Linked DNA regions of Oryzias latipes. The protein of the gene in region 2 interacts with the protein of the main gene of each other region in a pairwise test. Links are inferred from orthologs where the notes say so. Each region holds a gene or a part of one and is shown on either strand. Other genes may lie near its edges.

Region 1 (3,655 bases), on a different chromosome or scaffold from region 2:
GTCAACACAACCAAGAGGAGGAGGGGGGGGTGGGGGTGGGGGTGGGGGGGGACTACAACAAGAAAGCCCTGTGTTCAGTGGAAGTGGGGCCAACTATGATTAATACTAAGCAGATGTGGAGGAGAAAAAACTAGGGGTGCAACAATTGACTTAATCAAATTAACCTATACTATTATAACATTGTTTCCAAATGTAATGTATTATAATTAATATTGAAAAATACCATCTGGGTTTAAGCCTGGTAGGTTTATTATACTATGACGTAAAAAAACCAAGCGCATCACAGCAGAGAACACACACTCCACTTTGACCTGTGACACACAGTGGTAGAATGTTCCAATACTGTTCCATCTGTTTTATTTTGATGTGGAAAAACAACAATGGGCTGAACTTTAGGAAACTAAAATGTGAACAGATTTTTCATTAATTCCTGTTTACTTTTTTGTTTTGTACACATATTTAATTTACACTTGATTATCTTGCGAGACATTCAAGGGCTCTAGAAAACTTCAGCTGCACTGTTAAGTATTTATCTCTAAGACACAGTGGTTGAATTTTTGGCTAAAGATGTCCTGGATCGATCTTAAGTCAGTAAATCGAATCGTTCAAAATGAACCCATATCCACTATGAATCGTATCGTGAACCACAAATTATGAAATGAATAAATTGTTAAAAGGAATCGTTGCACCCCCCCCCCAAAAATTAAAATCTCTTCACAACACTTTCACCTAGATATGGGAGAAACTAAAATAATGAAATTTAGCATGTGACTGAAAGAAACTATGTTTGCATAACTGAAATTTTGGCAGAAAATAACTAAAGTTCTTACCGATGTTAACCGAGTCCTCCCAGTCTTCCAGCACTTCCGTTACAATAAGAACATAAACGTAGGTTCTGTGCTTTCTTTCCCGGTTCTGTTAAAAGGAAGAAATGACCAGAGAGTGAGTTAAAATTTTGAAGACCTCTACAAAAACAACGCAATAAGCAGACAGCGGCTTACTTCAAATATTCCAACTAAGCGACCTAAAGTCCCCTTCACACCGGCCTGTAAAACAAAAACAAGAACAAAGAAAGCCATAGTCACAACAGACAATTTTTTTAACAACTTTTATGATTTTCTCTCAGCTGTGCAAATTGTGGCCCTGCCACATGTGACCTTAACCAGGGTGTATCCCACTTTCGCCCAACTGCAGCTAGGATAGGCTCCAGTATCCCCGTGACCCCAAAAGGGATTCGGAAAATGGATGGAGGGACGTGCAAAATCTACAAAAATATTAATAAATATAAAAGTCTAACTATAGGCATTGAATGCCATCCATGTCATCTGTTGCAGTGCATTTCATTTATTGAAAAGTCATTGTGTTCTTTGAATTCTAGGTTGATTTTAATTTGCCAAACCTAATGAGTAGAAAAAAAAAAGACTAAGGGTTGGTTTAAGGACAGAAGATCGGCTTAACTTCAAGACCGAGTTGTAATTTGATTTTCCGATGGCTTAGAGTCAGATGCTGAACTCAGAAATCATTCAAGAAGGTCAACAAAAAAAAAAACTTCAGAAAAGATAAACATAGGTTAGAGACAGTAAGGTTAGAGTGGAAAGGAGGACGTTTTTTTTCCACATAGAAAAAAATTGTTTAAAAATGCTTTAATTTTTGTGTCACAGCTGTGCACACCATAAGACCGCAAAATAAGGTCAGTACAAATCAGTTAGGACACTTTTTGAAACATAAACAATAATCTAACAACCCCTGGGTAACATAAAAGAAAAGTCAAAAGATACTGTCATAACTAAAACCAACTATCAAAGTTAAAAACATGTATGCTCAGTAACTTTAAATATATTTTAGAGTGTTGTGAATTAACACCCAATAATGAATAAAGATTGTTTTAAAAAAATAAAATAAAATCTGCACCTGGATTCAAGGCTGCAATGTGCCCTTCAGACAAAACTTCACATGAATACAAATATATCCAGAAAACTAAAAATTGACCGCATTTCAATTAGTTTTAGACAAATTTTGTGGTTGTTTTAAAAAATAATAACTACTTAATTAGGTAAAGTCCAGCTGTTGCTGTCACACAGACAACAGGTAACAGACTCCCATAAGTGCCACACAGGCTCATGTTGAAAGGTCAGGAAAAGAAACAGAATTGCCCCTTCACTGTCAGTTATAATTACTCTTCAGGGCTATGCAAATGCCACAAGGTTACCAACAATAAATAACAAAGCTTCTTATTATTAAGTGCCTTTAAAAAAAATTCTGATACCAAAAAGTATCCCAGATGTCAGCTCCCAGATGAATAGTTCACATGTTTTTAAAAAAAGAGCAAAGCCACTTGCTGGCATCTTTGAAGCTGCTCCTCCAGGCTTCAATTTCACTCTATAAATAAATGTTGACTCCCTCTACTACGCCTTGGACTCAGTGTTGCACTCTTTAGGCGGCAAACTGAATAATAAATAAAAACTAAAAATCCAATAGACTTGAATCACAAATCAACTTGTGTTTTTATTGAGTGTTTGTTTTTCCACCAGCTCACTCAAATTGTGCAACTGTAGACTAGTAAAAATAATCCAAGAGGATGACGACAGAGCTAAAGTAACATGAAATGTTATGCAACGCTGTGTCGTGCCTTCACACATCAGGGTTAGGGTGTATCACTAACACTAGGATAAGCTCATGCAAGGATCCGATAAACTGACAAAAGAATCTTGTGCAATCTCTGGCCTCCTCCTGAGTGCTGTCCCCCCCTCCCTGGCAAGACCCCAATCCAATAAGAACCAGAAATCGCTCACTGCTCATATGGTAATCTGACCAGGCTCACCAGGATTAGAATACATGCTGGTGTGCTACCATCAGGAGGCTTAGAAGGCCAGAGTCTATGATGTATAGAGCATTGGTTAAAGTAGATGCATGCATCTATTTTTTGTACTACGACCCAATATTGTGACGCAACATTGAGATAGCAACAAAACACAGACATTGGTCATCAAAAACCAAAAAAGTAATATATAGCAGAAGTCAAGTTGAGCAATCACATGCTCAAAAGATGTTATACAACAAGGAGTTTTCATATTGACATTCAGGGTAGGATTCAGTTTATTTAGTATATTTCCATCTACTCGCTCCAAGTAACAAGGGATGTTATAGTATACACTGGAGAACCACCTGATTCCAGAAGGGATCTAGATAGTATTCAGTTTACTTTGATTTTCATAGGATTTCAGAACTGTCCAAGTACCCGTAGTTTTATACAAATTGCTGCAATTACACAACAGCAAAAAACCTGGGTTGTGATCAAGAAGACACAGCTGCAAAGGGACTTTTACCACAGATAATCCTGCAACAAGAATTTATCTGATGCGACAATAACTAGAATCAGATATGGAAGTCCATAGTTCTTTTACATTCTTGTGTGTTTGAGCAGCGTTATCCAGCTGATGGACGGCCAATGTTCAATCTGCATGACTTCTCTGAACAATAAAGTCCGATGTGGTTTTAGTACTCGGCTCCTATACTGGCATAACTCACAGCTCAAACTCTGCACATTTTTCTTCTACCCCCAAATGAATCCAGCGCCATGGTTACTAACCATAAAAAGACTTGTGTTGTTATTAAAATGAAATACATGATGTTAGTCTTGACAATATGAATAGTT
Region 2 (3,755 bases):
TATGTTACAACTGAGAGCAAACAATATGTTTGTTCTGACGTTGTCATATTTCTATACAAACTTAACTATAGTTACATCTTCTCTCAACTTATCATACATGAGTATGAAAAGATGACTCCAAACATAAACTTCAAAAACTTATGCAACTTAAGTTTTGTTACAGGCTTTGTCCTTACATCTGCCACCATCTGGTCAGTTGGACAATATTCCAAAAAGATTTTCCCATCATTTACAGTTAACGTTACAAAATGGTAATTGATGTCAACATGTTTACATCTTTGTATGCTTATAGGATTCTTTGCTAACTTTATAGCCCCTTGGTTGTGTTTATAGACTTTGGGTAGGGTGGTACCCATCCATGCCCTGTAGCAGTTGTACCAGGTACATACATTCCTGAACAGTGGCAGCTAATGCCATATTCTCAGCTTCACAAGTGGATACAGCGAATGTAGGTCGGACCATTCTCGTTTAGACTGACTCAGTAACAAGTTGCGCTGCGTCTGTCACTTGTGTCTGTTGCCCAGTCTGCATCACTATATGCATGTAATCCCTGTCCCAATCCCATCTCCTGTAACGAAGTTCCATTTTGATTTCAGTACATGTCTTACAGCAGTCCAGTGTTCTTCTGTTGGTTCATTAAAATAGTGAGACAATTTACTTACTACAAAACTCAAGTCAGGCCGTGGACATGTTGCAAGATAAATAAGGCTCCTAATGTCTCTGTATTTTCTGGCATCAGTCATCTTTTCTGCAACATTTGTATAAATCAGCTTCTGTTCACTTAGGGGTTGATCTAGGTTTTACAATCCTGCATGTCAGACCTTCTCAGTATCTTTTTCACATCCTCTTGTTGTGTCATTTTTACAATGCCATCAGTCTGGTCAAAGTCAATGGCAAGAAAATGCTATAGTCTTCCTAAATCTTTCTTGATAAGCCCGTTTACTTAACTACATTACCCAGCATGCCCATTATGATTGCAGGACTGTCACGTGATACAGCAGCACGTGTGCGCAGCGGACACTGTTTACAAACATCTGTTGCTGGGGTCGTGTTGGAGGATGGAGGTGGCAAGCCGTCAGCCGTATTACTTTGGAGATATCGGTGGGTGACGCGCTCCAAACAGCTCTTACTGTGTCGCTGTATGATCATGAGAGCGGTTGACGTCAGCATGCTCGGCACGCGGCGAGCTAATGTGCTAAAAACAAGCAGGCTAATGCTGTGTAAGAAACAAGTTTGCAGAAATCAAATTGAGGAGATGAATGCGACATTTCCTATCAAACTAGTATCATATCCGTGATCTGATCAGTAGCTGTAATGAAGCTGGAGTTCCGCTGTGATCTAAGACCAGGATCTGGTTTGGCTCTCTGGAGGTTTAGCTGTTTGCAGTGAGATTCTGTCACGCGTCTGTTAGAGGCTGAAAGGCCGCTTTATGAACCGCGGTCAAGTGAGCCGACATCTGTGGAAGTGCGGTATCGCTAGCCGTCACTGACTTTTTGCATGCGCGTTTACATCATAGTTTACGGCACACACGCCCAGCGAGCTGGAAAGACGGTATAAAGCGCTAATATCACCCACACTGTTACCCATTGTCAAATAACATGTACTGTACTCTGAAATAAATTAGTTATTGCAAGCCCCATATTGTTATTTAATGTACAAATGTATTCATTGAGATTGCATGTCTGTTCATTCCATAATAAACTACCAGAAATAACATGTTTTGTCTGAAATATAATCAATCAGACATGAACAGACATACAATCTAAATGAATACATTTGTACATCAAATAACAATATGGGGCTTGCAATAACTAATTTATTTCAGAGTACAGTACATGTTATTTGATAATGGGTAACAGTGACATGGGTGATATTAGCGCTTTATGCCGTCTTTCCAGCTCGCTGGGCGTGTGTACCGTAAACTATGATGTAAACGCGCATATGCATGAAGATAAACTTTTTTACATTTATCTATCTTAATTATTTTCTTCAGTTAAGATAAATAATTTTTTTTAGTTCAGTCAACTTAAAAATAACACAGTTATCAGAAATTTATTTTCCTTTCATTCAAATTAATTCAATTGAGTAGGTGTAACTTTGGTGCTGCTAGATCGGCAGCGCAAGGAATTGTGGGATATCATTGCCTTTGCCTGTCTGGACGGATTTGGGTACAAGTGTAGATTTTTGTCTAAATATATTTAGTTGTAATTGTTTTACTGTGTTTTGCCGAGTTATTTTACCCTGTTATGTTTAATTCTTTCTGCACAATGAGCGAGAGGGAGGGAGGGAGAGGATGAGGAGGATATTTAGCACCTCTAATGCATCAGTATGGTATAAGAACTGAAGTTACAGTCAAAGTCATGATAAATAAAGGCTGCGTAGCTGTTGTAAATCCACACTGTCATGTATTATAATTTTATAAAAATGAGAAAATCTGCAGCCTCTAACTTAGAGCCTCTAACTTTTCAGGTTGTTGGGCCGAGAGAACAGAGTTACACAAGGCGGCGGCGCTCGGCCAGACCTCTCAGCTACGGCACCTCATCCAGGGGGGAGCCTCGGTCAATGTGGTGGCTGTGGACTCCATCACACCGCTGCATGAGGCCTGCCTGCGGGGGGAAGCTCAGTGTGTGAAGCTGCTGCTGGATGCTGGAGCTCAGGTGACTGCTGTTTCTGATTTCCCTTTGGGGATTAAGAAAGTATTTCTGAATTTATGCTGCGAATGACATCTGATGGAGTCAAGTTTCCTTCATCGAATGAATGAGTAATTTATCACAGACTCAAGGTCAAAATGACAAGACCATAAAAAAAAGCAACAACATTCATAAAACAACATTCACTGAAATAGAGAGCAGATAAAAATGCGGAGAACAATAGACAGTAAAACCAAGTGAAACACAGATTACAGACTTAAACTAAGTGCACCCACACCAGAACCTCCAGACTGGGGACTGATATTTAAGAATGCTGTACTTTACATTGGTGAGGGGTAAAATCATTTAATTCTCTGAGGCATTAAGATGTATAAAACCATAGATCAAATGTCTTAATAGAGCCTGGAGAATGTAAACAACTCACTATCACTATCACTATCACCGTGGTCTATTAAATAAATTCCGAAGGGCATCATTATGAGCAACTTTAAAACCTCTGCACACTATACCCCCTGTAGTCAATCCACAGGTGTGGCATGTTCAAAGCAGCGCAGTAAGATTTGAATCAAAGAATTTTAATATGATCATGAATAAAACCTGCGTGCCTTAGTGTTTATCTGAGCATTTAGCATATAGTCTACAGATGTCAGTAATGTCATCAGTAATATTGTCATTAATAACATGACTAAGATATTTAACTTTATGACTGACATCAAGCTCATTATTGCACAATTTAAAAGCAGAGAATTCAATGTCACATCAACCTTAGTGCAAACAATAAGCAGACCACTCGTATTAGCATTTAAATATCCTTTTTAAAACCATAAAAGGGAACAGACATTTAAAAGGTGTTGCAAACCAAAGCTCCAGGGACTGAAAACCACTAAATCATCTGCATAAATGATTTACTTTAAAACTTCCAATCAAACATCCGATATTGCATGCAGTCAGTTCATTTGTCAATTTATCAACATGGAGATGGAAGGGGACCAGAGACATTATGCCCCCCTGCCTCACCCCATTGCTCACATCAAAGGGAGACGAAACACTTGGCCCCCCTGCATGTTCTAATGAGAGAACCAGTGTGAGAAATTCTTACAAATA

What was found. The genes of interacting proteins can lie anywhere in the genome.
Region 1: the proteins of ankyrin repeat and SOCS box protein 13 (region 2) and nudt3 interact in a two-hybrid assay, tested with the Homo sapiens proteins (2 studies listed by BioGRID and IntAct). The link is inferred for Oryzias latipes from reciprocal best matches to the Homo sapiens genes ASB13 and NUDT3.

What each region holds. Positions count from the first base shown.
Region 1 is NC_019863.2:14,581,032-14,584,686, reverse strand, and holds part of nudt3 (diphosphoinositol polyphosphate phosphohydrolase 1), read right to left. Parts: intron 1,047-3,655; coding exon 1,002-1,046; intron 916-1,001; coding exon 831-915; intron 1-830. UniProt on the Homo sapiens protein: Cleaves a beta-phosphate from the diphosphate groups in PP-InsP5 (diphosphoinositol pentakisphosphate) and [PP]2-InsP4 (bisdiphosphoinositol tetrakisphosphate), suggesting that it may play a role in signal transduction.
Region 2 is NC_019881.2:9,233,804-9,237,558, reverse strand, and holds the start of ankyrin repeat and SOCS box protein 13, read left to right. Parts: upstream 1-1,058; coding exon 1,059-1,101; intron 1,102-2,469; coding exon 2,470-2,657; intron 2,658-3,755. UniProt on the Homo sapiens protein: May be a substrate-recognition component of a SCF-like ECS (Elongin-Cullin-SOCS-box protein) E3 ubiquitin-protein ligase complex which mediates the ubiquitination and subsequent proteasomal degradation of target proteins.